Linked DNA regions of Mytilus edulis. The protein of the gene in region 2 interacts with the protein of the main gene of each other region in a pairwise test. Links are inferred from orthologs where the notes say so. Each region holds a gene or a part of one and is shown on either strand. Other genes may lie near its edges.

Region 1 (17,643 bases), on a different chromosome or scaffold from region 2:
AAATATTTGTTTTAGAGTGATTAGTATCACATGTTACGCAGTTTCACCTTATCTGTAAATTCAAACATCAATTTGTACTTGTACAATGTAATGTCAGGTGTTCTGGGAATTTGTCTATCTGTTTAAATAACTCAGGTTTAACCTGATTCTGATAATTATGCAAGAATCAGAATAGTTTTTGCTCCCTTCTTCATGTTCTTCATGATATAGATAACTAAAACAATTTAAAAATGAAATATGTATTTTTGACATGAAATGATATTATAATCTCAAAAATACAATTTGAAATGTTTAAATATTAAAAAAAAAAATGTTTTGATATAAACATTTTCAATTTTTCCAACTTTTTTAGGAAATAATGTCTCTGTGACATAATCATACATTATAAAAAAGTCAACAAAGTTATGATTATGACCCATTTTTTTCGATTTTCAATCATATAAATTTAAAGAGATAGAAATAAAGGGGGAATAAAAATCCCTTCCCTTTGATCCAACACTGCAACAATATAAGTTATTTGTAATTAACTGAGAGTAACATATACGTGCCATAAAACAAATTGTCAATTTCAAATTCCTCTTTCAGGTGGTTCTGGAATGAAGCTTGAATGCGATTAATAACACTAAAATATTTTTCCTTTTTGCCTTACACTTCAGTTGCAAAATGGCCCTCTCTTCTATATTGTAAGTCATACTAAAATATCGAAGCAGACCTGTATCTGTATCTGTTGTTACTAATATTGTAAACTTTATTTCAAGTTCACACAAATGGTTCAATACTTGAAAAATTTGAACTTTGACATTTTATAAATGTTTGAAGTAGTCAATTAATCAAAGAGTTGTCTCATTGGCACTCACACCACATCTGCCTTTATCTATCTAATTAATCAAAGGACTTTTCATATAAATTAGGAAAATAATACAGGTAGTGGTTTTCAACACATCTTTTGAATTACTTAATGAGAATATTATTAAGTACACTGTTTGATAAATTAAGTAAAAAAGACTCTAAGAAATGGAATAAGATTGCATCATATTACTATACTATACATGAATGATGTTGTCATATAATCTCAAAACCCTCATATAAAATTAAGAGTGGAATGGGGAATTGGTCAAAATGACAGCACACTGACCAAAGAGCAGAAAACTGCCCAAGGCCACCGATGAGTTTTCAACACAACAAGAAAATCTCATACATGGACGCTCCGGGGTTCAGCTGGGGCCACACTGAAAAATATTTTGGTTTGTCCAAACCCTACCCAAAGGTTGAAACCGTGGGTAGGTAGGGAAGCAGGTAGGCATTTTTTCAACAAAGAGTCAAATGATTTTAGTCTTCATGCTTATCTGATTAAAAAAAACTTTTTCACATCAGGCCAATAAAAGATTGAAGAGATAGGCAGCTATTTTTCGAGTAGGTAGGGTTAGGGCAAACAAAAATAATCTTTTTTATGGCCCGACCCCTAAACAAAGGAAATTATGTATTTACATTCATTAAAATTGAGAATGGAAATGGGGAACGAGTCAAAGAGACAACAATATCATGCCATAATAATGTGTTTTCTGGCCAGCATGGTTTATTTTAATTCAATAGTAAAGACAGTTTCAAAATGACTGCCAGAAAAATAAGTCGTAAATTATAATCTTGCAGTTATTAGATGTAGTAACATGACATTTTTTTTGGGTAAATTGAATTGTGGCTATAAGAATTTAATTCAGCATGGACCGAAAAACCTGAAAAGTTGATTTTTATTAAAACGAAACATAACAAGAACAACCATTAGTTATAATTTATCTTTAACATTCTCAAATTGTTATCAACTTTAAAATAATAAAATCGGCTCCAATAGTTTTCAAACTTAATTTTACATTCTCATGATCAGTATTAAAAATATTGGTTGTTTTTGTGAAAAAAAGGCACAGTTATCTCAATTAACATTAATCTCATGTGCCATATGACTTATATATCTTATGAAATTATTAATATAACTTGGCAAAAAGCTTAGATATTTAATAGGTTATATACAATGTAGGTACTGGTTAATTTGATCTAATTGAAAACATATGCACCATGTGCAATGGTAAAAATATCTAACACTTAATGCCAAACCAGCTAAATAATATTTATAACTTTTGTTTAATTCTCTCTTTAATTGAATTAAATTTATTGCAGAAAAAAAATCATGTGATAGGCTCAGGTGATAGGCATGCATTAAATACATTAAACTATGTCTGTGAATTTTATTTGGCAGCTTCCAGTTCTCACAAATTTTGATAATTATGCAAGAATTGGAATAGTTTTTCTCCCTTCTTCATGTTCTTTATGATATCTATAACAACATATATTTAAAAATCAAATAAAAGTTTTTGACATGAAAAATATTATAATATGAATTGTGCAATTTAAAATGTCTAAATACATTGAAATTTATACTCATTTATAAGAATGTTTATTTATGACACGTAATTGTTTTTGATTTTTTTCCACCTTTCTAGTGAATTTTGTCTGTGACATTAATATACATTTAAAAATAGTCAACAAAGTCATGATGCTGACAGAAAAACTTTTAGACTTTCAATCATATAAATTGGGGGAGAGAAAAAACTAGAGTCTCCAAGAAGCCTGTGTCGCTCACCTGATATTTTTATTTACAATTGATGCATGAAATAATGCAACCGTTATACTTTTGCTTAAGTTTCAGAGATATTTATAAGTCAAAAACTGCATTTTTCCCCTATGTTCTATTTTTTAGCCAGCATTTGCTCAACTTTAACAGGTCGGGACCACTACCTTATATAGAAATGCATAAATTAGCATACTTATGTTCTCGCACATGTAATTGTTTATTTACATGTGACGCAATTTATTTTTACCTAGGTTTTTGACCAATCCACTAAATGAGTCACAATGCATGATGGACTACTACGTGTTTACAATCAACCAAGAACACGTGTTATTTACTGAAATACAACACATTTTTTCGTGCAATGCGGGATTCACAATTTCGCTTAGTTTTTCATTTTGTGTATCCTCATTTATAGTTCGTGATATAAAGTATTACTTCCATGCTCAGATTAACGAAGAGTTGTTTCTATGCGAAGAAAAAAGGGTTTGAATTATCCGATATATAGCCATTAACATGTTTGATGATGGCACAGAGATTTCATGTATTTGTCCACCAGAGGCAACGAAACAACAGCGAAAAAACACAACTACCCATGAGACAAACTTACTGGTGTAAAGTAAGCCGTCGATAACAGCCGGTGCTGATATTCAAGAGTACAGCAATGTTCGTATAGATAATTAAAGGCAAATGTGGGATCCTTGAATTTTGTGTTCGTAAAAAAGGCGAAGAAATATTTACAAGTATTTTTGTTGGTCACATTTCAGTATATGGAACTTCCAAACTGTTCCCTTTTTTTGAAGGTAGCGAAGTCAGTAACTGTAGTTTCAGTTTGTTCGTTTTTTAACGGGCTCGGACATTTGCCAAACTGAATAAAATCATTTCAGCTGATTTCTTAAACCTGCAAAGTAAAACTTTGGTTGGCTTGCTTGCTTTGTTTGTATAGTTGTTTATACAAGCTTTGAAAATAAGATTGACATCTTTAAACAATATATATATATAGGAATAGTTTAACTTGTATATTTTATATTTTGTACAATATACAAACAAAGCAAGCAAGCTAACCAAAGTTTTGCTCCACATGCATTAGGAAATAAGCTGTAATGATTTTATCCATATGTATGTGCGACAAGGTGGAAAATTTGATATGTTTTGTGAAAATTGCAGCGTTGGATCTATAATAAAAAAGAAGATGTGGTATGATTGTCAATGAGACAGCTGTCCACAAGAGACCAAAATGATACAGCAATTAACATTTATAGATCACCGTACGGCCTTTAACAATGAGCAAAGCCCATATCGCATAGTCAGCTATAAAAGTCCCCGATATGACAATGTAAAACAATTCAAACGAGAAAACTAACGGCATTAATTATATAAAAAAATGAACAAAAAACAAATATGTAACACATAAACAAACGACAACCACTGAAATACAGGCTCCTATACAATATATTTTTTTGATGGGATAGATTTCTTGTCCTTTTAATATTTAATGGGGCCGTTTTTTTGTTTGTTTTTTTGTTTGTTTGGATTGTTTTACACAAGTAATTTTTGGGTCATTAATAGCTTACTTTTCAGCATTGGACCTATGACTGCTTACTTTACTAAATTATGTCTTTGTTGGAAAGATGTCTCATTTGGCACTCATACCTCATCTTCTTATTTCTATATACAAAGCACGTTTTAGAAGAAGAAAAAATAGGTAATATGGCACCCACTATGATCCAGAGACTTTTAATATTGGAGATATTTTACATATGTCAATAGGACAGCAGCCGAACGATAAAAAAAACCTCTGAGGTATATTTTGTGATAAAATTAGCAACAAACGGATATTATCGATGGATGAAACTATAAAAAATGTATTGAGCTGTATACCGTACCCGCTCAGTGGCGGATCCAGGGGGCGGGGGGTTCCGGGGGATGGACCCCCCTTTTTTTGGACGATCGGTGCTTTTGGATGGGGACATGTAGTTGGAACCCCCTCCCCTTTTGTCCAGGGTTAGGACCCCCTTTTTAAAATGGCTGGACCCGCCCCTGCCGCTTTCATAACACTTCTTTTTAGCATACTGAGTATTATGATGTTCTTACTATTAGTTCAGGTCCTGATAAAAAATATACACATTCAGTACAGAAAGAAGTGTTTCAATGAAAGTTTCGTGTTTTTCTAGGCAAAAATGATTTTGCAATGACATTATACAGGTTTAAAAGAGCTCAAATGATTTTCTTACTGGACAGCGGTCACTTCATTGGATATTTCACTGTGTCATGTCGTGAAATTAATGCAGGTTCAATTCATAGCAATGCACAAAACCGGTTCAACTACTTTTGCAAGGCGAAAGTCAAATCGTGAAGCCAATAAACAATATTTTTTTAATCTGAGCATGCAAATTGAAGATTACGTTACATATTTTACATTAAATATATTTGCAGAATAAAAACTTTGGTAATGAGAGTCCCAGACAATATATTAATTGACTGTTTTCCCACTAATTCCACGTGTTTTAAGTAGTAGTTTACTCGTAGTAGCCCACAATGCATTGTAGTTCATTTAGTCGATTGGTCAGTTTTTCAAGGCCATATTGGCCTTGTGTTTTGGAAATTACTATGCAAATATATTCTGACGTCAGAAAATCTAGAGTTCTCAACCTGTTTAACATGTGTGTAATCTTCTGTAAAGTCTTAGGGATCTTGGTTGAAAACTGTAGAAGTTGACAACTTGTATCCTCTTACATAAATTTTGTTGAAAAAGGAATAAGTTCCAAAGTCTGGAAAATTGAGAAAAAAACTCAATCAATTCCATTATATAAGACACACAACTTCAACAAACATATATGTGCAATCTTCCTGTAAATTTCAGGGATCCATATACCTGCCAGCATCAAACAAACAGACTGTAAGCCTTTGTCCAACCCTCCAAAATTAGCACCAACGTTTTTGCCAACAATTTAAGTAAAACCTATTTATCATTAAGCCAAACTAAAAAGGTCATGTGTTTATAGGACTTCCTTCTCAAATTTTTTTTGAAAGTTAGATAGAAATTCCTTTCATAATACCTTTAATAAATGTGAAGAATTGCGAGTTGAAGAAATAGGGTTGGTAGAGAAAAATAAAATTTAGCCGAAATTTTTCTTAAATTCTGAAAAATCCCAGCTGAAGCAAATTAACTAAGTAAAAATAACATGGCAACAAAAGACTGATTATCAAATACCACTACACATGTATGTCAGAAGAAGAAATCTTTCTTATCAAATAAAATTATAGTACAAATTACTTTTGAATATATAAATCTATAATAATCAGTGGCGGATCAAGAACTTTTCTTAAGGGGGGGGGGGGGGGCCCGCTGACTGACCTAAAGCGGGCCCACTCCAGTCTTCCGCCTATGATAATTTTCACATCTCACATGTTGAATTTCATTGTGGGCTGTGCAAACTGGACAAAGGGAGAGAACTATAATTAATTTTGTGTGAAAATATCATAATAATATCATACATGATTGTTGCATTTCAACCAAGGGTACTTGTTTCTATCCATGGGAAGGTCGACTATCCATATATATTTTTGTACATGAATATAGAGCTTATATACACATGATAGATGCGCCTATCATGAAGAACGAAAATAACCCATCAGGCCCCTCTGTATACTGTTCAGTTCTAAGATAAAGAACAGCAAATAATTTATGCAATCATAGACTTGGCTACCTCATTTAATCATGTCTGGTCTACATGGTCTATCTGCAGAAGTATTAAAATTGGATGTGGCATATGATTGCCAATGAGATAATTCATTTCACAATTCATTAGCACATGTGTTGAAAAAATGTCCAGCTCTCCTTAAGGTTCATCATAACCTTTTGGCTAAAATGGCCGTATTTACACCCCAAATTTTACTCTGAGTACAGACTTACCTATACACCTGCAACAGTTTTAAGGGATGGCAGGAACTAGATATAAAAAATTTAAATGCATTTTATGTTTCAGAAAATTATAAACTTTTCTAGATTTTGCTATCCATTTTTTTTCTTTCCTGCAGAAGGTGCAAAAATTAACTAAGTAGTGAAAACGATTGAGAAGCTCCCCTCATATAATCAATGTTGTGAGTAGTATTGATTTAAATGGACAATAGATGGACAATAGACACCTGTAAACAATAGGTGATTTAACAGGTTTAAACTGTGTAACTGAGTGGACCGTATCAAATGAAACTCGGGTGTTTGTTTATTTTGCTATCTTCTGCAGACTGGAAAAAAATGAACATCAAAATCCAGGTAAGTTTTTAATTTTCTGAAACGTAGACTTCATATAACTTTTATATATCTAGTTCCTGCCATGCCTTAAAACTTTCCTGGATGTACCAGTTTGTCTGTACTCAGTAATTTTGGAGGTGTTAACACGGCCATATTTTTCAATTCCTTATGATGAACCTTAATCCTCTGTTACTGGAGTTGAGATAACATGTGATCTCTTTACTTTAAGATGACCGACCTGTGTCCTGTTGTGTGTAATGAGTGTCAAATGAGGGATTGTTACTCATTTGGGGAATAGTTCCCCATTTGGTCTGTTGGTGGTTTGTGTCCAACCTGATTAAGGTTTATGTGGACCCTATGGCTAAAATAGCCGTATTTTCACCTCAAAATTTACTCTGAGTACAGACAAACCTGCGCATCTGTAAACAATTTCAGGCATAGCATGCCCTAGATAAATAAATTTCAAATATGTTTTATGTTTTAGAAAAATAAAAACTTACCAGGATTTTGCCGTGCACTTTTTTTCATTCCTCCAGAAGGTGTCAAAATAAACTAAGTTGGGAAACAGGTTTGAGAACTTCCCCACAGGTAATAATTTAAGTGAGCTGTATTGCTTGACATGGACATGAGATGGACAATAGATACCTGACAATAATTGGTTATTTAAATTATTTAAACTGTGTATCTGAGTGGACCATATCAAGGTAAACTCAACTGTTTGTTAATTTTATCATCTTCTGCAGGGACGAAAAAAAGTGTGCGGCAAAATCCAGTTAAGTTATGAATTTTCTAAATCATACATTGCATTTGAATTCTTTATATCTAGGGCATGCTATGCCTTAAAACTTTCCCAGATGCACAGGTTTGCCTGTACTCAGAGTAAATTTTGGTGTGAAAAAACGGCCATTTTAGCCATAGGGTCCACATGAACCTTATCTGACTAGTATCTAGTACACATTTTTGTTTAGCTGCTGCGTTCAGTCGAGCCAAATAACATCAATATTAAATATAAATAAATACCTTTTTGGTTCGAATGGCTTCGACTCGTCAGCATTCATTTCCGAGATCTTTCTCAATGATAATGATGTCTGTCAGATGATAGCTTTCCTCCAAAAAGTTGAAAATATAAATGTGGTTAAGCACTTTATTATCTCCCTTTTCCCGCGAATCGGTTAAGAACTACCTAGTCACAGGAAATGTTAAGGCCTAGTTCACACGTACATTTAATTCGAATTGAATGCGAATCGGATTCGCTAATCGCGTTCACACACTCTTCCTTTTCAATTCGAATTGATTGGAATTGGCTAATTCGCATTAACCAAATTGCAATAGAAATCCGGTTTTTTTTTTTAAAGTAAACGTCGTTCGGACAGTAAAGCAAATTTGACGCGCATTGCAATTCGAATTAGAATTTACGTTTGGACGTAAAACGTTTCGAATGCGAATTAAACTAATTAGAATTAGTTAATGCAAATCGAATTCGAATTACGTATGAACGCAGCATAAAATAGCTGTAGACTGTATGAAAGTGGAAATCTTTTAGATTTTATGACAAAGATTGATCATGTTGATGGTGTAAGAAATTTAAACGTTTATTTGTGGGCAGGAGTTTAGTACTGCAACTGACATCGAAAAAGACGCTTAGTTACCGAGTTTAATGGTCCGGAATAACACACGGCTGCAAATTGTTTTAAATGATAGAATAATATCTATATTTTAATTTCCGTGGGGTTGTAAAAAGTTTCTATGGTCACATTTTTGTATTTTATCCCTTTAATGGGGGTACCCCTCAATTTACGGTTTTGGGTAGTTACCTTAAAATCCAAAAATATATTTTTTGGTTAACTTTCCCGCTATTTTCGGAAATATTTTCTATGCACATATCATCAAGGATCATCGGAATGATGAAGACATAAATATAATACCATCTCCATGTAAAACTTTCAAACTTAAAGTTGGCTGATTTTTTAGATAGAAATTTACCGCGTTTTTCTTTGAAAACGAGAAAACATGTGATTCAAAAACAGTATTTGACATTTGAGAGAACAAAACATATTATTGCGATACTGCATGCAAATTTTGTTGGGCAAATACCAAACAATTTTGTCAAAAACTCAAAAATAAAAACATCATTTGTACCTTTTTTAATTACGGAAACTTCCTATCCGTCAATCTGCTCCACCATTTATTTTTTCCTTCACAATCAATTTGATAGTTTCGATGTGATTATGTAGATTTTGTAGGAGAAGTTAATTTATTTTTGAGTGATTTTAATATATATAGTAGTTCTTTCGTGTATTTTCTGTAAAAAAGTTATATTTTTGTTAATAAAATTTTGACTTTATATAAAAGTTAACCAAATCCTTCAGATAAGAGGTTTTTCCGGATAATGACTATAGTTGACATTGTGTGAAAATGTCAATGTTTATTAAACCTCAGAGCAATTAATATGCATGCAAGTGGTCGGGGGAAAAAGTACTATTGAAGTTTCGCAGAGATTTGGTGTGTGACAAGGTGATGCTAAAACCAACTTCTCTTGATATTCTGCTTTCCGTGGGCGAATCATCAGTGATGTTATGAAACTTGTACCAGAAGGCAAACTTGGTGTGCATCTTTAAATTAGATTGATTGATTGATTGTTGGTTGCTTAACGTCCAGTGGCAAATATTTCATGCATGTTCAGGATGAGAACAAGTTAACAATAAAAACAATAGGTAGGTTTTGTCATAATAGAGGCCATTCGGGATGATGATCGGGAAAATTTAGACTGCCAATGGAAAATGATGGTATATTGGATTGGGACAGAAATTGTCCATTGCAACATGCCATGTACGGACCCCTCAAAGAGTTGATGCAAGGGTTTTTAACGTGCAAAGAACGTGACACTCCCTTTACACGAGGCATCGGATTTAACGTCCCCATTCTGACCGGACGTGAATGCGAACTTGAAACATCCCGCACAGCCAAACGGACGCCCCACTTCGTTTTACTGCCGGTCGAAGGAAGACCAAGTGACCATATGTCGTTTCCCCAGTCACCCTTGGGGAACTTTAAATTAGAAACAACAGAAATCCATATATGTGATCAAACTAATCGACATGTATCCTCACAACCTGACACTTTTATACGATCTCGCGCTCAGTTTGTTCCTTGTAGTTTGGATATGAAAACAGGGTTTTTGTGTAAAAGAAAAACCTTTAAAAAACCCCCAGAAAACTACGCAAAACTGAGTCCTTTAAACGTGTTGACAATCTTTTAAGTTGTGCTTATTAATGTGAGTAATCATTTATCCATGCATAACCAAGTACTTATTGAAGTCAACACCTGTGCAATTAAGTAAAACAGTTACTGAAAAATTAGAATTTGAACTTGCTGTCAGTTCATTAATAACGATTGTTAGTGATGTTATTTGTTCTTCCATAAGAAAAAGCCTTTCTCATGTAGCACGCATCCTCTATATATACCGATCAATTTTATCCAAAATTGTCTCTGATGCTTACCAAACTGCCAAACTCCAGAACTAACTAGATATTGTGACACCTTACAATTCAGACACAGTGGGGCCAAGGGATATGAAATATAGTTTAGCTCTGAACTCAATTTAGGGGATGCCATTTTGCTGCAGGAAAATTGAAGTCTATGTTAAGACTTTCAGAATTACACCAAGGTGTGTCTGAAAATATCAAGGATACATTAAAAGAAGAACAATTACTTCACCCTGCCACCAGTGCTCTTATGAGCTATGTCCTCGTTTTGGTATTTCTATGGAAAGGATGCTCGCATAGCTTGTTAATAGATATAGGAAGATGTTATATGTGTGCCAATGCTACCATTAAAGGTCACGGTCCGGTCTTCAACACGGAGCCTAGGCTCAAAAGTTCATTTGTTAGTTAATTGATGAAAAATAACACAAAGACGCTTCTGAACCGTATATTGTCCCTAAAGATAACAAAAATTCGTAAACGTATGGCTATTACAAAATCAATCGTTTCTGTAGCAACATTCGCCCCATTACATTTGGGATTGGCAGTACAGATACATCATGCATATGCATATGGAAATATGGGTCACGAACATTGATCGAAACTTTGTACTCACATTTCTTTTGTGTTTCCTATGCAAAGGTAAGACTATATCTGACGAGTTTGACCGAATCATGACGGCATTTACGCTCTAGATAGCATTTGTACTCAAAAACTGTGTTTACTTTGAACAAACTCTGTCCTGCGCCTAACTTGTTCTTATAAAAAAGGGACCTCGCATTCGCCTCGGGTGACTATAGTATATTTTGTGTTATAACTGCTCTGTCCAGACTTTGCAAAAACACAATATGTATTTATCTATAACTATATACTAATTTTCACAAAATACACAACCTTTAAGATGCAAAATTAAAAACACTGTTTCAGCGCTTGAATTTTGTTTTTTTCAAAGATAGAAAAAATATTGAAATAATTTGATAAAGTGGTGTTTTAAACTTTAGAAAATAATTCTGTAATATACTATAGTGAAATACTATACACAATATGAAAGTTTATGGATGTGAAAAGGTCAAGGCCACTTCTTCTTTTGTTATGTCTTAAATGGAAAAAAATCAGAAGGTTCCAAATCAACGCCATTTTGTAATGGCAGCTCTTCATATAAGTAGTCAAATTTGTCGATTTAACATCGTTTATATCATATGCTTATGATTGAATCGTTTTTGTAGCATTCTATTGAATAAATATCAGAATATTTCTCCTTTTTGTCCTTGTGGTTGAAATATTGATATTTTTAGGTCTGACCTTTGACCTCAATTTCACAAAATTATGACCACTGGATTTTTACGACCCAACTTTTCTTATTATACACGTTTTCCTCTTTCCATCGATATATAATTTAGGTGTGTGTTCTTCCGGACCATTAAAGTTTTAAAAAATGAACTCTGGTTGCAGTACTATTACCTATTTGTCCGTATAGTATTGCGAAATAAATCACAGGCGCTTGGGGAATGGACCCCCCTTTTTTCTATTATATATTATAATTATATGTTTGTGTTTTAATTTTTTGTCGTGTAAATATTCGTTAATATTTTAACTAATTTTCTTTTATTTGAATATTCTCTGGTTTTAATCCTGAAGAAATTACAACAACAGGGCTTTATAAGTTTAAACAATCTACTTTCTCAGTTCCAAGTTGATCCAAGTTGACATTCCCTATTCCAACTTGACTTTCTCACGTCAACGTAATTTTTCTGCATTCAAGTTAACATTTGTCAAGCAAAGCTTGACATTTTCCAGTTTCAAGATAGCAGTTCTCAGTTCCAACTTGGAACATAAATGATTCTGTGGAAATTTCCAGTATTTTTTTTTTTTTTTTATTACTGTTGCTAGGAAGATAGGAAAAGATCAACACTACAGTACATCTCTTAGAGATAAAGGCAAATATTGGAGTAAATGAGACATCAGATTCGAACTACAGTTTTCAAAGAGTGACATCACATACATTTGATTTTTTTTTAATAAGATCATCATTAAAAAGAAACGGACGCAGACGGCAAACCAGCAAAAATTGTTAGGGAGAGTAAATATCTTAGATTGTACATCAGCCCGCAACACAAGGCTTATAAACTAGTATATTGATGTGGATGTTTTTCCAGATAGACTCAAAGAATATCAAGTTACATCGCTGCATAAAAAGAATTCTCCTCTTTTAAAATCTAATTATCGCCATGCAAGTGTCTAAAGATATATTTTACTGGACAACTTACTACCTCATGGTGTATCTACACATTCAGTATCCCTCTTGCATTCATATCTTTCTAGCTATCAGAAAACAACAAATTAAAGTCAATGGTGTTCTGAGTAGTTGGGCTGACATCCAGAAAGATGTACCTCAAAAACGATATTTTTACTTTGTGAGTTCTTTACATAATTATGCTGATGATAAAACCTCAATTGTCTTTTGGCAGTCCAGTTTAAATTCACTTATATATACACTAGCATCTGGTTCTCGAGTGCTTATTGACAGGTTCAATGTTAACAAAATGTAGGTCAATCCTGACAAGTTTCAGGTTATTGTCATCTTCGCTAGCCAAGGATTACGATTCACTACCGAAGTTGGGCTATTGTCGTCGTAAAGGAAACATTTGCAAATAATCCTCGCTTTCCATTCCAAGGAAATGTTCTTTTTTGTGAGGAAACTTTCAAGCTGCTTCTTATTGATATCGATTATCATCTGAAAGTTGATGCTCATATCAACAGCTTGACGTGCAGAAAGACGTCACAACAACTAAATATTCTTGGGGTCTATTTTATCGAGACTAAAAAAACACAATATTTCATACTTTTATTTTTAAGAAACTTGAATTGTTGTCCTCTATATATAGAGACTACTCAGGAGCGTGGCACTTCTGCACGGACACCAACTCCAAGAAGTTAGGAAAAGTGCTGGAGAGATCACTCCGTTTTGTATGTGATTTTACCTGATCATATGAAACCGTTCTGCATGTGATAAAGGTGACAACTCTACAGGTGAGAATTCAAGACAATGGTACTTGAAACTTACAAAATTTTTAACAGTAAGGCAACAGTGTGTTTGAGTGATCTAGTCAATATAACGAACCTCAAAATACTATTCTAGGTATAGTAACATCCTGGACATACCACACACAAGAACTAGTACATACGATAAGAGATCATTCAAAACTACTGCTGCTTCACTCTGGAATAGCTTGCCAAACCATTTCAGTACTGAAAAGTCTCTTTCAGATCTTGCTTCAGTTCTTGAATGTTTCGAACTGCCGTTGCTCAGCTTGCATATAGTTAAAATCTGGTCACGTTTGCTTTTTGTCACACTATCTAATCTAAATGCTCTGCGCATAGCTATTTATGCGGAGACTCAGAGAGGCGATTGCCACATGGGTTCCCGCTTGGATCTATGCTCAGCACATCAAAAATTTTCTGGTCTGGCTTCGATAATTATATTTTTATTTTTTGCTTGCTGCAAACGCTTTGTTTACAGTTAAATCCTTATGCTTCATTCTATTTAGTTTTATATTAGCACACGGATCTTCTATATTATCAGATTATTACATGGCATTTTTCATATCGCATGTATTATCAGCCCTCGAGCCGCATGGCTCGAGGGCTGATATTGACCGAGGGCTGATAATACATGCGATATGAAAAATGACATGTTATGATCTTTTTATCATATGCTTCAACAGTAGAGGGAAATAACAGATTCACATATTTATCCTTCTACGTGGTTCCCGAAAAGAAGTTGAAAGAGTAAAAAGTTCACGGACGTCGGACCCAAAATTTGATTCATTCAAAATGAAATCTTTCTATCATATGCCTCAACAGAGAAAAAAAACAAAACATGTTAATATGGACAAATCGACAAAAAAATAATTCAACAATATACATAATGAACATTGTTTAGAAAAGTCAACTTTTTTAAAGTAACTTTCTAAATAATGTTTCAGAAAAACTTCAAAATGCATTTATTCAATATTTTTTTTTTTTTTTTTTTTTTAATTTAATTTAATTATTTTACACAACATACTTTCCAGTATTCAAATAATTGTTTTGTTCACTACTTTGTAATGTTTTTCACTGAAAATGTAGCATTGAGGTGTAGTTTCCGGAATTTGCCGAGTATCACCGGAATGCCATGTGATAACGTAATACGGAAAGGCATGTGATAACAATCGAAGCATGTGATAAACTTTTCATATCAGCCCGCTAAGCACCAATTCGAAAAATATGGAAAATACTTTAATTTAATGCTATTATCATACGGTAAAAATCATATGTTATTTAGTCTAAGTATATGATAAATATATATATTATAGGTGTCTCAATATGTTTAAAGTGGCTCATAGCCTCGTACTTTTATTTTTTAGTGCTAATTGACGAATTTCTTAGTTTTTATGTATCAAATTTTTATGACGATTGTTACCTATATATTCTAAATTTTTTAGTGCTTATTCCAAATTTTTCAGTAGATACATTTTTGTCATACTTCAAATTTGCTTAAACATGTTAATTTATTCGTTCAGTGTATGTTCACTTGTTTTTGTTCATTTGTCTTTTGATTTAGTTCAGCTATTTCAATTGATATTTTATAGTATTCTTTCTATATTGTGATGTTACATTATTGTCTCAGGTTGAGTGAAGGTCGGCGTTTAAACCAACTGCATTTGTTTGCACATGTCCTAAGTCAGGAACCTGATGTTTAGTGGTTGTCGTTTGTTGATCATAAGTGTTTCTCGTTTCTCGTTTTTATATAGATTAGACCGTTGGTTTTTACTGTTTGAATGTTTTTACACTAGTCATTTTTGGGGTCCTTTATAGCTTGCTGTTCGGTGTGAGCCAAGGCTCCGTGTTGAAGGCTGTACTTTGACCTATAATGGTTTACTTTTACAAATTGTGACTTGGATGGAGAGTTGTCTCATTGGCACTCATACCACATCTTCTTTTATCTATATATCAAGTCTGTCACATCAGAAATCACGGTCAACTTGGAAAAGAAAAAATGTTACATGTAACAACAAAATGTCCCTATCAGTCTTTGCCGTACGGATGTCGATATGCACTTCTGAGATGTAGACGTCAATGTCTCTGGGTTTATAGGAAGTGACGGTCTATAGCTAGATATTTGAACACTCAATAGTTCAAGGGTAGATATGACACATGCAGGATTTGTTAATCGGTACCGGACTACAAGAAGCCTTTTTCAATAAGTCTATGGAAGCATTGTTGAGCCTTTTGGCTCGCCAAACTGTCTTTTTAATTCATGAGCAGTTCATGCTCTTTTCTTCTGAGCCTTTGAGAGATAAATAGTTAAAATTAAAGAAATTCGATTAGGAACTTAAATATCATCTGCTGATCGTCAGTACATTCAATTTCAAGTCAACGGTACATATCTGTTTGTTTAGAGGAGGACTTGGACAGATAGCAGTAGGTAAGGCGAAAATACTTCCCCGAACTAAAATACCCTCTTTTTCCAGTAAGGTAAAAAAAAATTGAGACCAGTTTATTGAGGAAAATAAGAAAATGTGGTATTTTGAAGAAAAACAGTCCTTTAAAAATTGTTTGGCACATGATCTTTTCTTAAAATATATTCGTAGAATAAAACATTAAATAGGGGATGGATAACTTTGACCTTTGATATGTAAATTTTCTTATTACAAGAACACAAGGGTTCAATAGTGTTCCAATGTAAGATAGTCTTATAATATATTGAGTTAAATAGATGATTTCAGTTTATGTAATGCAAACTTTTCCCCAAATTGTACAAGTTTCTGCTCTATTACTATACCGTATGTCGTTAAAGTTTCGTATGTCTTGCGATAATATCGATTCTCACTAATGGAGCAGGACATGCTGACCCTTACGCAGCACTTGATTTTACCCACGATATGGTTGTTAATTTCTGTGTCATTTGGTCTCCCTTGTGGAGAGTATCATTGGCAACCATACCACAGCTTATGTTTTATAAGTAGCTTATGAATGATGTTTATTCTGCATTTTATTATTCAAACAATGGTAATGCTTATCTGAAACACACATACACAATAAAGAAAGCGTTTAATGTATAGACGGTCTTCGCCAATCAAGTGTTACCATTTAAGACATGAATGAAATGGTCAATATGAAAATGATATGTATACGAACCTCGGTTAAAGAACCTTCTGCTTTCAATAATTTAATGATACTATACGTTGGAATGCATATAATAGATACCGCTGCAAGCATAATTCCAAATGCTTGAGCCCAGTCTGGGTATACATTTGTTGTATTGTACTTAATTGGTTTGAATTTGATGATTTGAAACAGCAATATACCCTAAAAGGAAAAACATTCAAATCATGACCTGGTACAAAATATGACATATATTATTCATATTACATAATTTAATTTTTCCATCTTATATGATGTTAAAGGTAGCTTTCCACTAATACCTACAACATTATATAACTTTGAGAATACTTGAAAAAAGTCAATTAATGTCACAATTATTAAGACGTCTTGCAGTTGCCAGACTGAATTATCGTTTGTACTTCTGTACAATTTAAGCAGTTTGCAATATTGTTAATTTTAATAAAAGTGTTGATAGTTATTTCTGATCTTGTACAATTACAAAATGTATTAATCATTATAGTCGCTTCGAATACCTAAAGAACATAGCAATAAGGCTGTATTCATTTTGGAATTTCTTCGATAATAGTTTGACTTGTAAAAGTAAATAGTAACCAAATCCTTTATGCTTACCAAAGTTATTGCTGGCGTTATGAACTTCCAACATATAAACAGTCACTTGTTGATTCTGTATCCAATCATCAACTCGATGATGTCATAGAACTTATCTGCACCTGTATACATAGGACCTTGTATTAATCCAAATGCATTTATATATGGATAACACAATATAATATACTCAACACTTACAAAACAAATTTTGACTATGAAAGCCTTTATGTATTACTGAAAAATTATTACACCAGGGTTTTCGATATCACAAACTAGTCAAAACATTTACTAAATTTTATCATCGGTATAAAGACATTATTCGTAAATATAGCTTAACATGCAGACTTCTAGTACGTTCAGGTATTTCACATCCAATTTTTTATGGAAATATTCTTTATAAAGCACAAAGGTGTCAGTACTCACCTCAGAAACTTACAAAACCTTTGAATAGACTTATTAAAAAGGGATATAATTACGATACTGTTGTCAAGTCATTAAAGATTGCATATTTTGGCGTTAATATTGAG
Region 2 (17,214 bases):
TGTTTTTCCATCAGACTGAAAAATAACAATTACTTATTAAACATGTAAAAATATAATATTGAAAAAATTGAAGAAAACTTACTCTTTCATTCATTTTATAAATATTTAAAACTTTTCATTTTTTATTCCTTCAAATTCTGTATATACAGGTCCTTCTGTTTGCAACTATTTCAAGAGCAAATATACATTAAACTATTTCAAATGTCACTCCTGGTAAATAAAATTAAACCTATAGTATGAAGCAATTTTATAATAGAATTTAATTTTTCATTTTTCATTTTTTAATTTTATACGTCAGTACTGATTTTATCAGCTGGAATATCAGACTGACTGTTCCAGAATCCTTGCTGATAAAGTATTTAAAAATGGCATTTTCTATATACATGTCTCAGACCACAGTTTTATACAATAAATTTCAAAAAATTATAATTAAATGCTTAGCATACATTTCTAATAAATCACAAAATTAATTTTGATATAATCAATATTAAAGGGAGATAATTCAACAAACCTTAGTTTTACTCAATCTTTCAGATCCAGCCAAATCAACAAAATTCAATTTAGAAACTGTATATCTAGCATTGGACTGCACTCTTGATCTTGTCTGTAAATAAAAGTTAAACATTCATAAAATAAAAACGATTCCAAATTTCTGCTATATAAGCAAACTACAATGATAAGAAAAGTATGTCTGAATGTTGAATATTTATTTCTGTATTCTTAAATTTTATATAGGCATTTTATTTTTACCCATATTCTTTGTTTTAGCATATTATTCTCCATTTTTTATAAACAAATCCAGTCCCTCAAAAAAGCAGCTCATCAAAGACAGTAATGTAATAAAAGGCATCAAGTTCATTCATTTCTTACAGGGGCGGATCCAGTCATTTTAAAAAGGGGGGTTCCTAACCCAGGACAAAGGGGGGTTCCAACTACATGTCCCCTTTCAAAGGCATTGATCGTCGAAAAAAAGGGGGGGTTCCAACCCCCGGAACCCCCCCTCTGGATCCGCGCCTGTGTTATACCTTTATGTTAAAAATAATCAAATTATATCCAATAGAGTCAGTCATATAGATATCATATATAAAGCCTGTATAAAAACAGATATATAGATATTGAATTTTTACACCTTAGTCTAAGACATTAGATCTAGATAGTGTATTAATGCAACATCAACAATGTTCAGCTCAGCTTAGAAAATGGAACAAGACATTTATGTGCACAAAGTTTTTCAGAATTGTTTCACCTAAAGAGTTATTTGTTTCTTTCCTATTGTAAAACTGAAACAAAATGCTAGTAATGTTATGGATATGCAGGCTAAACTATGTGGGCTAGACCATGTGATTAGATTCACAAAATTTTACGACTAAAGTTGATTTTGGCATACTGATACGTTTATAGCTCAACAGTTCTATGATATTTTAATATTTAGGACAGTCTGTAATCATAAAAAGTAGTTAGCTACATAGTAGCCTTCAAAGATTAATATATAGGCGTATCATGCGCTTAGCAGTTGCTATATATTATGGTATACAATTGTCCGTCGTAATGAAGTTCTGGAATAACACAACTATCATACTTCTTATCTAAACACTTTATGAAGTATCAATTTTACAGGACGCTTACAATTTTTTCTTTATCACTTTAATATAATTGATAGTAAAGTTGACAGATTTCTAAGATAATTACTTAATGATGCTTAAAATAGGTTTTTTATGATCATTATTGATGTTTGATTTAATTTAAAATAAAATTTGTAAACCAAGCCAAAAGAAGGGGACATCACTCTAAACACATAATTTTATTTCTTTCAACTGTTTCTGCATAAAAGATAAATCAGAATTTATACTTTTCATGCATTTTTACAAATTTCAAATGATTTACACCAGAAAAACATGAAAAACGAGAAAGATTTCTGAAATAATTTTAACATGATGAGTTCTTAGTAAAGCTGAATGCTACAATATCCCAAATTTAGATTACAAATTATATTATAAAAAGGACCTGAAATAATTTTCTGCTACTAGGATTTCGACAAACAGCTCAGAATGAAGCATATCAAGACTTTGTTCAAACGTAACCTGGAGATCCCCTCCTATCAAAAGTAGCTGCATCATGACATTGAAAAGACAACAACATTTTTTTGGGGATGTAAAAAAAAGGGGGGATTTTGAAACAAATCTAGCTTACCTCAATATACAGAGTAAATATACAGTGAGACCTAGAGGACTGTGCATTCAGTGAATGGGCTGCTATAGCTCTGTTAGTTTCTCCCTGAAAACATAGTAAGTTAAATTATTTCTGCTCCTCTAGCAATACTAAATGTAGATAAATTAACTCATAAAAAATCCAAATATTGAAAAGAACATAACAAGTAAACTACACATTAATTCATGAATGTGCATGAGTTTCAATATTTGGATTCTTTCACTAGTTAATACTTTTTATCACATTGACCATAGAATTTTTAATAGAAATTTATAAAAAAAGTATAAAATATATTGCATTTAGGAACTACATCTTTTTTTAAACTTTATCCTATATTTCGTTCACACACATAGTTATATGACATCTGAGAAGTCAAATTATTAGATTTATTTCACATGAGAAATTATAGTTTTTATTCACACTAGTAAATCATCCTATCCATTAATTTCAACTCAATTTCATATCAAAAATCATTTTTTATAAACTCATGGTAATATACATGCAGTCATACTGAATGTAAATAAAAGATATACTTTTTTCTAAGATGCTCAACAAATAATTAAGTATTAACGTACAAACAAATCATCTACCAAATATGGATAGAAATGAAAGTATATTTTTTAGGATAGATATTAACCTCAAACAAGTAATTGAGAGCCTCTTCTTCATTCTGTGTGAGATGACAAGACAATCCTTTAACATAGACTCCATATTGATTCTCAGCTACTGACATTGACCCACCATTTTCCTGATTAATGGCTTCTGGCAGTGTTGCTAACAAATCTACCATAGACTCATTGTAGATTTCCAAGTAGGAAACTCTGTAAAAACAAAAAGCAAAAATCTTAAAAAGTGAATGTGGTGGTTAAAATATGAGCTGCTATTAAGTTACTAGGTAACATTTACATATCTATGGTTGGTTTACATTTATAGTTTAACAATATTCTTTTTCAGTTCCCCTTATAAACCATTGGACCACTGTAGATATTTTACAAAGCTTTTTTCATCTTGGTGTAGTACAACAAAGAAGCTAGGCAAAAATCATCAACATACTAACAATTTTACGGATGAACATCAAATTTTTATATGTATTCCATTAGAGCATTATCAGTATTCTTATATCAAAATACACATAGGTTTTTTTTCATCTTTGTGTATACAACGAAAAAAGTACGGCAAAAATATTCAAGTTTCAACATACTAGAAATTTTACAGTAGGACATCACATTTTGTGAGTATTCAATATGAAAATGTTGAAAGGAGATCTTCTTATATCAAGATACCCATATACATACATTCAATAACTAATATTACAAACACTTTTATACTGAAACAATATTAACCATATACAGTGAAACCTGTTTAAACCGAACCTCATCGGGACTTAGGATTTTGTTCGGTTTTGGCCGATGTTCATTTTCATCAGGTTCACAACGCACATAATTTGATATGACGTTGCTTACAAACATGTTTGGTTTATCCAGGTTTTTCGGTTTATACAGGATTCGGTTTAGTCAGGTTTCACTGTATATTAATAATATGGCAATGGATGTTCTGTCTTATTGTCATTTACTCTAATCTGAAATAGTTCTTTATGATAGCTATGGTTTTGGTTTGAAACCTCATATTTTTTCTTCCTGGTGATAAAATTTCGAAAAGAATTAACCATCTTGATAAAATTTGGTTAAAGATATAAAGCTCAGCTCTAAATATTATGTTTTTATGAGAGCGTACCTGACAGTGATAGAATATTCAGGTCTTTCCTCTATTTCCCTGAACAGCTGTGATATGGACCTAGGCAGAATTCCTCTCTGTTTATAGCTTTCAGTAGCACCAGTTATTGTGAATGTTTTTCCAGCTCCTGTCTGTCCATAACACATCATTGTTCCTGAAAAATTAAATATATTTTTTCTTTTTAAGTAGGTTGTGTGCACTGGAATATCTTATCTTTTATTTTGCATTACAGTTATAATTGTGCACTCAATGATACTTATATAGTTATTAGAAGAACAGCAATAATAATAATCCTGTTTAGTGTTACTTGTATACATTTTAATTTATGATGTACATTGTACAAAGATTTGTATTTCCCTTAATTTCAGGAAATTAATATTTATCTTCCCCCAAATCACATCTTTTGTTAAATAAGTGCTTTAAAAAAACTCAAATAAATTGACTTAAAGTTTCAGAGTAAAAGTAAAGAATGGTACTAAGGGATGTGGGATCAAATGATTAGGAGTCAATTTCACAAAAATAGCTTTTTTTGTGAAACCTGCTCCACCAGTTAGAATAAGAAAACCTTCAGAATCTAGATTTATGTAAATGTTCTATCAAATTTCTTTCAGTCCAATTAAGCCACTTTTAAACTGTTTCAAATATTCATTCAAATTAGAAGAGCATCAGATTCAATAAAATTTAAAATACTTACCATTGTAACCATCCAGAGCAGAAGTTACAATATCTGCAGCCACTGTGTCAAAGACATGGTCCTGGCTAGCATTATGAAAGATACCATCCAGTCTAAAGGACCAGTCTAGAATCTGGTTATTGACAACTCCCTTCGCAGACTCTTTCTTCTGGTGTACATTTACACTCTGTTAAACAGAAATTTATTTTGAAATCAACAAGAAGATATGAAAATAAATTTTAGTAAAAACAGACATTGATTTACAAAAATCGAACCAGTGTTGATAGTTATATTATGTCGATTAAAATTTTGTAAGGGTTCCATGGAACCCAGTGTCTCGCCTACTTTTGCTGTTAATCACAGGCTCAACAAAAATGAGGAAAAAAATCAATAAAATTATTCCTGTTGATACTATCTTTTGATCGTAAAAAGCTTCTGTCCAAGTTTGGTAAAAATCCAAGATAGTTTATGAATCTAATAAATGTTTTAAAAACCTTAACTGCAGACTGTATGAAATGTTAACTGGAAGAAAAACTAAGTCCATTTATAAACTTGTAAAATACAGATACACAGGTACCAAATTTTAACAAAATTTCCTTCTAGATACTAACTTGTTTTCCTTCTAGATACCAAGTTTGGTACAAATCCAAAATGGTATAGAAAAGTTATTAAATTTTTTTTAAACTTTAACCACAGAGTGAATGTGTTGTTTCCTGGCAGAAAATCTAAATCAAATTTAAAAGTAAAAACACTGATAAAATTGAAATTTATTTTTACAAAATTTACTTCTAGATACTTTCTTATGATCATAAACAAGCTTCTGTCCACGTTTGTTAGAAATCCAGTATAGTTTAAGAAAGTTATTAAAATTTTAAAAACCTTAACCACAGAGTGAATATTTGTGGACGCCGTCGACGGAATGTAGGATCGCTATGTCTCGCTTTTTCTACTAAAGTCGAAGGCTCAACAAAAATGTGGCCAAAATAATGACAGAAAGAATATGCAGTAAATAAGAAAATTTATCATTTATATATTTTGCAGAAAAGCTTTTTTTTGACATTTTTGTAAGAATTGTGTAACTTTATGTTTATTTTTTTTTAAACCTAAGAAAACTGATATATCATTGCCCATGTAAACTTTAACCCAGCTTTTAATAATTCACAAAAAAATTACCATTTAACCAAATTCATGTTGATCTGTACATGTATAGGATTGATTCTAAAGAGTTTTAAGACTAATTTAGACATCAGTTTTTCAAGACTGGTCTATCTTACCTTTCCATCAGGGACTAGTTCTATATGTTCTGTATCAAAATTAGCGGTTGGTCTTACTCTACACCATACTTTAACACGTTGGTTCTTACTCGGTTTCTTTTCCGGTCTGCTGTAGGTGCTCAAACCTGAGGTCCCTCGACTATACATCCTGTCAACTTATCTAGAAAAAGAGTTTATTTGCAATGTATATAAACTTTTAGCCATACATTGTAATTATTTAAAAGACTTTTTAAGCAATACACAACAAAGGTCAAGATCAAATGGATTAATTGTTAAATGCCACTCTCTCCAATATTGACTTTTTCACTGTTTATTGTGACTGTCACTTTTTGGAGGAAGTCAGCTAGAGAGAGTGCTCTCTAAGACTTGATGGAAGACCAGGACCTTCAAAAGTCAGTTCTACAATATTTTCCATATCATGGCTTTTAAAGCCTGTTATGAGGTCACACTTAAAAATATTTTGGTTTGCCCAAACTCAAACCAAACATTGAGACAGTGGGTAGGTAGGAAGGTATATTTTTTTTTTGGCAAAGAGAAATTAAAGTATCAGATGTCTATTAGTCTTCATGCCTATTTGAATGAAAAAAAATATTACCACCAGGTCAATAAAGATTTTGAGTAGGCAGCTACTTTCTGGGTAGGTAGGGTTAGGGCAAACAAACCCATTCTTTTTATGGCCTGAACTTATAGCTTTTTTACAGAACAAACACAAGTTTCATTGCTAGCATCCTCTTTTTACCTAGGCTTTCTTTGTGTCTGATATAGCCAGGGTTTCCGCTGGCTGTCGCCATTTTCGCAATTTGCCAAACGGGCACCTATTTTTCTTTTGAAGAAATTTACCCAAAGAACTGTACATCTTTCTTGTATAATATATGGTCAAAACATGTCCAAGAATTTTGTTATATTATGGGACTGATATCTTCATTATTATCAAAAGTAGGTGGCCCCTCTATTAGAAAAGTTGTTCAAAATACATATATAAAGAATTTTCACCCTTTTAAAAAAAGTTCCGTTTTTTTAATAGTAAATCATACTAAATGTTAGAAAGTTAATTCATTACAATTTAACTGTAAACAATGTAGACTCAAAGATAAGTTTGAGAGAATAATCATAGACAACGATGGGGCAAACTCATCTTTTTTAGGGGGGAATTAAACGAAAAATATAATGTTACTTGGCGAAAAAATTAACAAAGTGGTAAAAAATATATTGGTTTGGCGTCAAAGAGGTGGCGAAAAAAATAATTGACCCAGGGGAAACACTGGATATAGCCAAGATGAGGGCCCTCATGGGGTTTTTGATTAAGTGATTACTTGGCCGTTTTTTTAATGATTATTTGATTATTAAGCCAAATATTTCATGATTATTTGATTACCTAGGACTGTATTTTTAGTTTATGATTATTTGATTACTAAAGATAAGCAAATATTTAATGATTATGTGATTATATTGGCAAAAAAATGGTGATTATGTGATTACTAGAACCCCCCCATGAGGGGCCTCCAAGATCAACCATCACCATGTGTCTTCACAACTTCAAGTTTTTATTGAAGTAATCAAGACATGAATTTTTTATTCAAGTAATCAAGACATGAATGTGTGGCGGACAACCAATTAAGAACTATAACCTAACACATTTATTTCTCATCTCAGTTTCCATTACCCTTCTTATGACAAAAACAAATGAAATGGAAAAGAAACAGAAGTAGTGACTTCTGAGTTTTGCTAATTTTCATAAATTACACACATGAACTTATCAAAATTTCCTCCCCCTTTTTTAACTGGTTACTTATCTTCAAATTCAGGGACATTAGTCCCTGAATTGGGTGATTTTTTTGTGTAATCAAAAGTTTGTTAATATATTCGGCTGAAGAGACTTACCTGTTATTTCATAAATGTAGTTTTAACGGTGATTATAAATTTGCCCCACACTTTGTTGACAGGTTGTTAGGAACTTAGCGCATGCGCAGAAAGGAAGCTCTCGCGGGTCTCACTAATTAGCGACAACAAGCGTCAAGAAGCGACAACAAGCGTCAACAAGCGACAAGAAGCGACAACAAGAATTATTTTAGCGACAACAAGAGACAAGAAGACTATTTAGCGACAAGAAAACATTTTTTTTTTTATTAGATATAAAGAAATTTGTATTTAATGGGTTTTTTTTTTTAAATATACGAGCAGATATGTCTAATTAAAATGTTTTATTATATTGGTAGATGAAGAAATTTAACATTGTGAAGAAGAAAGAGATTGAGCTTCTTTTTTTTATTTTCAAATATGAAGAATATGTATAAGATAATGCACGGGGGGGGGGGGGGGGGGGTAACTTCCTATTATTGGGTATACGGGGATGTGCCAAAAATATGAGTCATAATTTTGCGAGATTTTATATAAAAATGACCCTCCTTTTTAATGACATCCTGCATTTACGTTTGATAATTGTATATTGATTTGGGGTATGATCTACATATCATATATAAATATGCTATTGATATGTGCACCAAACGATGTCAATTCATATATAAAAACTTAAGGGTAGCTGGTATATTTATGAATTATGAGTGATGATGAGTTAGTGCTTATATAAGCATGGGTCATATTTTAAAGATTGTATATATATATAAGTATATGCCATTCTTTCTTAAATATTTATATAACTATAGGTACTGAATTTCAGTGAATGTTATATTAAAATGGGTACGTTTTTTGAGACAAAAATGGCACACCCCTACCAAAAAAATATCGAAGTTACCCCCCCCCCCCGTGAGATAATGTATGTATCTGTTTTCATCAAAGTCAAAGTATGAATAAACGAATGGCGATATATATGGAGCGGGCATAATGGAATATAATATTTTGATTCTAACAGTATAATTCATTATAATATGTAGAGACAACAACATCTAGGTTACCGCAAGGTGATAGTTTTATTGAGTCGACATGTTTCGCCGCTAATGCGGCATCATCAGGACAATATTACAGAGTTTACATGTTCATAAAGTGTATATAATGCGGTTGTATTAATTATGACGTAAAAGAATAAAAGTGAAAGTGAAAATGTAAAACAGTGTTCATGATGTAGCAAGAATAAAAGTTAAAAATAGAAATAAAAACAAATGTTTATCTTGACTGGTATGTTCCGTAGTCACTGTGATTGAGGTTCATATATAAATAGAAAGTGAAAGTGAAATTAAAATAAGAATCTAGTATAGTTAAAAGTGAAAGTTAGTCAATAAAGTTATTAAAAAGTGAAAGTTAGTCAATAAAGTTATTAACGATGTGGTTAGCTGCTATTCTTGCACGTCTGTGTAGAGGTCCTCATAGTGGTTTATAAAATGTCAGTTCATTTCCAAATAGGACAACACCCCATTGGCCATCCCGTACCAATTCAACTGGATCGCTCCGAGGGAGGTACTGCTTCCATTGAGGTAGTAAAGGGTGAAGTGTATGATTGCCGCAATTTTGGGAATTGTAAATCTTGGTAGATATGTTCATAAAAATTAACTTTGATAATAAAATGTCCGTGGATCAGGCTTTTCTTTGTAAATTAGGTTTGTGGTTTATGTGGTTCATCCTGGTTCTGGTTCCTTCCCTTTTTCTTTAAGTAAAATGCCTGGTATTCCGAATTACTTTGACTTTGTGTACTTAGGTATGCTGCGGATGAATTTAATGTTCAATTTCCGTAAGGTTCTAAAGTGGGCTAAGTTTTTCTCTTGGATGGTTATCGTAGTAGGAGCGGGTGCGGTTGCGGGTGCGGTTGTATTATCTTCCATATCTTCGTCGCGGGTTTTTCTTTTCTTCGAGGTATGGGCTGTTTCTTCAGTGAGGTTGGTGGTAGAATGGAACTGGTCGGTAGACATGAGGCTGACGGTTGTAACTACAACGCAGGACGGCTAAGGTGGATCGTGTGCGGATGCAGGGGTTCACAGAAAAATAAATAATTTGTGACGAGTGAACCAACACCTTATAATTCATTGTTTTAAAAAACAAATTATAAGATAAATAATATGTTCTAAACAAAGGAAAAGCAAGGATTTGTATAGTACTATACAAATCCTTGGGAAAAGTAATCTCATAATACAATAATTAAACGTAATACTGGCTGTTATTCATAATAGATGATAAAATATTATGTAAATAATGTCATTTTTTTCTATCAATTTTAATTTTCTTGTCGCTAAAATTATTTTCTTTTGCATATTCTTTTAATATTTATTGCAATAATTTATTTTAATTAAAAAAAATGTTTTGTTGTCGCTAAATAGTTTCTTGTCGCTTGTTGTCGCTAAAATAATTCTTGTTGTCGCTTCTTGTCGCTTGTTGACGCTTGTTGTCGCTAAAATTGTTGTTGTCGCTAATTAGTGAGACCGGCTCTCGCAATTTCTCGCGTGAGTTCAAACCAAAACAACAAATGGTTGATGTCCCTTGAATTTCAGATCCTGAAGGTATTACATGTACAAATTCATCCAAAAGAGATATGTTTATGCTATGACAGTAGAGCAATAGATAGATATGTTTGTTTTCTAAAAAGAATTTCCAATATGAAAATCATGACAGTTATGGAAATTTTCGAAGTTCACGCACTGCTTACTGACTTTATTTATAATTTAGTCTTTGAAACGATTGAACAAGTTCATGTGTTCATGTTGATATTTGTTTTCAGTTTGGGCTTTTCTTATGCGTTAGTTGTAACCAAGATCCTTTCTTTTTTGAGATGTCTGGAAATTTATTATGAGGGTGGTAAAGGGTTATTTTCCTGCAACGATGTTTTGCCTATATGTTATGTGCAGCCGTGAAAAATGTTTGTTTTTCAAGTGTTTCGTGAAATTGGTAAAAAGATCAATGTACAAGAGATTTTGAATTATTCGTTCATTGTGAAATGGCAATTTTCTTTCACGTTTTTCTTTGCAGGTACAACCCTCTATTATCGTCGTGTCATATGTTTTCGTATGTCGTATGTTTTTGTATCATCAATATTTCATCGGTTTTGATTTCACACGCGTATGTTGTGGCGGGTTATTCAGTTTCTATATTTGGAACAACAACAACACTACAATTTGACATCTTTAAAACATATTCAAAGTCGTTTTAAAAGACGCTAGAACAAATTTAATAAAACTGACCAGATTAGCCATTTTTATTCAATGCCAAAAATATGGCACACTAGAATAGTTGTTTAGCAATATTCTGAGGAGCCTCAGGAGTTACATGAAGTATAGCTATATCGTCTGCCTGCCCGACATCGGATCTTCAAGACATGTGACTTTCATGTGTTTTTTTGGTCATTTTTATTACAAACAAGCGCGTTAAAATTATCATGGTTCGAGTTCTTATATAAAATGGCTGTTCAAAATCCATTTATTCAATATTTTATTGACAATTCTTTTTATACATCCTTGATACATGAAGATGAAAACAGTCTTAACTTTTTACATTAAGTAAACCCTAAATTTTAAAAACTGCATTTTGTTTTCAAAAAAAATAATGTCCTTTTTAGAAACCAAGTGTCAATCGGAAATAAATAAAAATGTAACAATTTCAGTATATGAAACACCAACCTAAAACTATTTACTATTTATTACTAGTACTGAAAAGTATTGAATAACCTTTATTATGATTCAAGCGATCACCAGAACCACGACTTTAGAAAATACTAATTTCTGGATTATATAGTCATTTCCTGTCCCTGAACTGATCCAATTTTTAATTCATACGAAAACATATGACGCCGTTATTTTGACAAACGAAAATCGCAAAGTAATCGGAAACGGCTAAAAATCGTAGAAAGCCTTCACAAAAAAAAATAGATACCTCAAATCATTCGATAGGACATGCTTATCAAATTTGAGTAAACACCTGAATAAAAACTCAACAGTGAAAACCGTAAGCAGTGAAAATTGTTATTAGTACGAAAACACATCACATGATAATATCTATTGAATTATGAGCAACACGACAGTCCCAACTATTTGAACAGGATATGTTTACACTTCCAGAAGTTGACACTTGATATCATCATTAGTTATGATGTAAAGATTGAATTAAATGGTGCTGACTAAAGGGGGTTCGCGGGTCTAAATCATTTATATCGGATTTCTCTATATTTTTCAATAAATGAACTTTATCTTATAGTTAATAGAAAAATAAAATTAAAAAATGTGGTCACCCTTCATTTGCGCTCACAATCTGCCTTCCAAAGAAGCATACATCTTTGTAGAAGCGTTTTTTTTTCTGTTGAACTGAGAAATAAAGGTAATATCGAAATAAAAAAAAAGTTTATTACAGAAATCGCTCAAATTTTACAATAATTAGGGTCCCGCCAAAGGCGGTCCCCTATAGTGATCAGTCTGTCCGTCCGTCCGTAACACTTTGTGTCCGCTCCATATCTAGAGAACCATTATGATTTCATACTTTATACTTTACATGTTTATTAACCACCACCAGAGGGCGTGTCATGATGTATGTGCAACTTCCTAGGTCAAAGGTCAAGGTAAAAAAACTTTGGTTTCAGTTGACAACCCTTTGTCCTGTGGTGAAGATCGTGTCCGCTCTATATCTTGAGAACCGTTATGATTTCAAAGTTTATACTTGACATGTACATGAACCAACACCAGAGGGTGTGTCATAATTTATGAACGACTGCCTAGGGCAAAGTTCAAGGTCAAAAACTTTTGTTTCAGTTGACAACCCCATGTCCTATGGTAAAGATTGTGTCCGCTCTATATCTTGAGAACCGTTATCATTTCAAAGTTTATACTTGACATGTATATAAACCAACACCAAAGGGTGTGTCATAATTTATGTGCAACTTCCTAGGTCAAAGGTCCATGTCAAAAACTTTGGTTTCAGTTGACAACCCCATGTCCTATGGTAAAGATCGTGTCCGCTCTATATCTTGAGAACCTTTATCATTTCAAAGTTTATGCTTGACATGTTTATAAACCAACACCAAAGGGTGTGTCATTATTTATTTACAACTTCATAGGTCAAAGGTCAAGGTCAAAAACTTTGATTTCAGTTGACAAACCCATGTCCTATGGTAAAGATACAATTTTTTAATGCACATTATTCACAGCGGCGCCCACAGAGATGGCTCCCATCTCAATGATATCTAGTTTAGTTTAAGTAGAGCATATATCGAAATTATATTAAAAAATAAAGGTCACCGATGAGTTAAAAGAGATATGGACCATAATTTGCTATTGGGCTCCGTTTCCTATAACTATAGAAAAGTGATAAAATGTGAATTACTGTAAGAAAAGTTGCAACTACATCTAAAGATGCTATTATTTTTATCAACATACAAGTGTATGCTACTCTTCCCTAGAAAAAAAATTAAAATATACGAATTTCAAAGATTCTACAACCGTATTTTTGTGTCGTTTCTCGCGTTATTTTTTGCTTCCGAAGAGCATAACGCTGACTGATTTATAGGTAATCGTCACCGGCAAATTCGTAACTTTTGCTTTCAAATAACAAAGAACATCGACCAATAAGAATAGTGAGAAGAAAATGCCGAGAACTATAAGTATTTATGTAGCAGATGTAAGAACAGTGGCGTGATTTTTGTGTCCGATTTCGTAACGCAATTTTTAGATGATGTAATCTGCTTTGTTGTAATAGAATTCTTAAAAACAATATGCAAATATGAACTCTCGCGAGATGTTCAAACAGGTAAATCCGAGATGATTTACATTCTTGTTTTGATCTTCGTAATAATTGAGTAAGAAAATTACGTTATCGTTATGCGTTACATTTCACACGAAACAGAAGTCCAGTTATTTATCAAAATTGTTTTTGTCCTTAAGTTCTAATCATTTCCAGTCATACGTGAAACATGTGACTAACATGTGATAACGCCATTCTGGCCGGATGTACGAAATACTAGGTCTAAACATTGTTTTTGTTTCCAACGGGATGTTAGCAAACTTAATCTGTAGACTTGTTTCGTCTTGTTTAAAAGAGGAAAATACAATTGTCAAAGAGATTGCGCCGATGGTCTGTTATTTTTCCTATGTGCATAATGTTACATACGATCCTGTGTGAAAATAAATGCCCAATGACTTGACAAAATCGATTTCATATTTGACAGACGTTAGAACACACTTCGTTTCCCGATAATGACGTGAAGAGTCCTTGGAAAAATCAATCGAAATTACGTCTCTTATCATTGTACCAATGCTCTTTGGATTGATTTAACTTCAGCAGTAAATATTACTGGATATTTTAGGTGAATAAATATAATTTAATAAAAAATACATGTTAATATACCGTTACACTTGGAATGTACAAAGTTGGAATCTTTGTCACAGTTTTTAATTAATATTTTTTATTCATGTTCTGCAAACACTTATCAGAAACGCAATAAACTTGTCAAAGGAGAAGTAAACTTTTACCATGCATGACTTGAAAGGAAGTACTTTATTGATTTTAGCCCACTAAAGTAGGTTAAAATGTGGAAACCATGTAGATGGTGGACAGGTCACAAGTATCACATTGTGCCTATTTTAAAGATTTTAATTCCAAGTTAAAAGTTTTTTTCTTTACTGGATTTAAAGAATGTTACATTGCCAATGATTTGGAATAAATTGTATATAACTGGAATATCAAAACCAAATATAAATACATTTTTTTGGCTTAAACATCAAGATACAACGATTATGGTATCTTGTATCAATGAAGAAAATATGGAAAATTCTGAATAAATTGTACTAATTGTTTTCAAAACAAGCACATATTTAGGAGTTTTATAATACTGTTACATTTAAGATGGATTTTAAGAAAAAGTATACTGTTCAGATTATTTTAAGCAGATTTTGCAATAAAATAAAACTAAAAAAATGCTTTCGGTTTCTTATGGTTTCCTGTCAGGTTTTAAAAAAACTTTAATATAACATTGAAAATAGATTTTAAATATTAACATGAAGCAAGTAACACTAGTAATGGTGTTTATTTATGCCTTTTGAATTATATTGTGCAAAATAAAGAAAATAAAGATTGGTTTCCTGTTTGGTTTCATGTCACGTAAACGGTGAATCAAAATGTATTAATTTTTTCTCGAAAAACTCAATTGTTCCATTCATACTATTCTAACACCAACACAACCCACAAAATAAAAGTTAAAATTTTAGAACTTATAAAAAAGGATACAAAAAGAAACCAAAGGCCGAATACCAAATTATGGTCCATATTTCAATTTTAAAGCCAAAAAATGGCATTTTTCCACCAAAGGGAGATAATTTGGAACTTTTTCAATGATGGGTCAACACGAATTAATTGTTTTGAATGTTATGTACCATATGATAAAGTAACAACTACAAAACATGCAAAAGGTAATAAATAAAATTTGTAATGAAAAACAAATGTTTAATTTTTTTCTGAAATTTTTATACCCTCGAGCCTCCTTAAGATGACAATACATTTGTAGCTTGTAATGACATAATATCAGTGAAACGAAAGAAATTTGATTAAATTCAACAAAAATAAGACACAATTTACGTTTTCCCAAGCATCTAAATCACCTCCAGTTATGCTCAGAATACAGGATTTTAAGTCTAAAATGCTCCCCCTAGCAAGTTCAGCCGGCTTTGCCGCCTTTAACCAGTGATAGTGAAATAAAGTGGGCTATTAACATGATTAACTTGTTGCCTGGGCTAACTGATTTTCAAGTCCAGTAGCCGAGCTACAAGTTAATTTTGACCCCTGGAGATACATGTAAACAAAATGTAGTGCAATGATCATTGCGAAATATTTATCAATGAAATATATGCTCATATGGTATGGGCTTTGCTCATTGTTGAAGGCCGTACAGTGACCTATAGTATGATAGTTGTTAATGTCTGTGTCATTTTGGTCTCTTGTGGACAGTTGTCTCATTGGCAATCATACCACATCTTCTTTTTTATATCAGACATTCAAGTTTCAAAATGATGTTACATATATATCTGTAACTTCTGTAAGGTGCAGGAATCTACATTTACATGTCATATCTGTTCTAAAAATATCAATGATGTCATTGTTAAGTAATCTTTCAAATTAGAGTTATCTTCCTTTCTCCAGAATTGTAGATGAATCACTTACTACCGATGCTTTACAAAGGGGGGAAAGGACCTTTATCAGGACTCCAGGATCGAGTGTTTTTAAGCTTGGGATATCGGGATTGACCCTTTTGGGATCTGGGAATTCTTTTTATGAATTTTCGGGATGTCAGGATTAAATTTATTTAAATTTGGGATCTCCTGATTTTGTATTTTAAAGCCCAGGATTTCGGGATCAGGACCCCTCCTACACCCCTCTTTATACAATGCATTGTTCAATTTTAATTCCCACTGGTTAATTCAAGCAATCTTTACCATCCAGTGCTTACCAGCACTTTAATGATATAAAAAATAATAATCTTTTGATATTCTTCTGATATAAATTTATTAAAAAAAAAACCAAGATCATCTTTACATTCATGAAATACTTGCCACTGGATGCAAAACAAACTGTAATCAATCAATAAAATAACCAGATGAATTTTTAAATTTCTTTTTAACTGGGAATATTTCAAGAGTTATTAGTTTATTTAAGGTTACTGTATAAATATATGAATCAGGATATAAATACCAATTTTACCTGTAGAAATACATGTAATACATTATCATTTCAATGTGATGAAGAAAATCAACAATCCAGGATAAAAATAATCATAATAAAATTTCAGTAAGATTTTTTTTTAAACTTTTATCATGTTTATCATGTTTATGTTACTATTATAATGTATTTGCAGTTATGAAGATATATTATTATAATTCTTACATGTATGTACAAATGTGTAATCATTTTACTTTGAATAATCATGATAATTTCATGGTTTATATAATTACAATTTAAATTTATTGATAACATCATCATATGGAAACATCTTACTGTTTTTATAAATATTTATATGTTCAGTACGTCAAGCTTAACCGTGTTAACATAAACATGGTATTATTGAGAATGGAAATGAGGAATGAGTCTGACAAATAACACTTTTTTGTTAATTTATATTATTACCATTATATAAACCATGACTCCCGGACCAGGAGGTGTCCTTCCGTTGGCTCCTAAACAAATATGTATACTAGTTCAGTGATAATGGACCTCATACTAAACTCCGAATTATACACAAGAAACTAAAATTAAAAATCTTTCAAGACTAACAAAGGCCACACTCAAATATATAGAATCTAAACCAAGCTTTATGCCACTGACTGGACTCTTAAAACTTAATGTTTCAAAATTTAGGTTATAGAATATGTAGAATAAGAAATTTGAGTTATTAAATTGCACGCCGGTTAA

The links.
Region 1: the proteins of kinesin-like protein KIF9 (region 2) and protein arginine N-methyltransferase 6-like interact in a two-hybrid assay, tested with the Homo sapiens proteins (2 studies listed by BioGRID and IntAct). The link is inferred for Mytilus edulis from reciprocal best matches to the Homo sapiens genes KIF9 and PRMT6.

Annotation. Positions count from the first base shown.
Region 1 is NC_092344.1:70,734,357-70,751,999, reverse strand, and holds the start of protein arginine N-methyltransferase 6-like, read right to left. Parts: upstream 8,044-17,643; 5' UTR 7,937-8,043; coding exon 7,899-7,936; intron 1-7,898. UniProt on the Homo sapiens protein: Arginine methyltransferase that can catalyze the formation of both omega-N monomethylarginine (MMA) and asymmetrical dimethylarginine (aDMA), with a strong preference for the formation of aDMA.
Region 2 is NC_092357.1:41,448,287-41,465,500, forward strand, and holds the start of kinesin-like protein KIF9, read right to left. Parts: upstream 7,869-17,214; 5' UTR 7,771-7,868; intron 6,050-7,770; 5' UTR 6,037-6,049; coding exon 5,890-6,036; intron 4,803-5,889; coding exon 4,637-4,802; intron 4,097-4,636; coding exon 3,943-4,096; intron 3,030-3,942; coding exon 2,846-3,029; intron 2,275-2,845; coding exon 2,191-2,274; intron 605-2,190; coding exon 512-604; intron 16-511; coding exon 1-15. UniProt on the Homo sapiens protein: Essential for normal male fertility and for progressive motility of spermatozoa.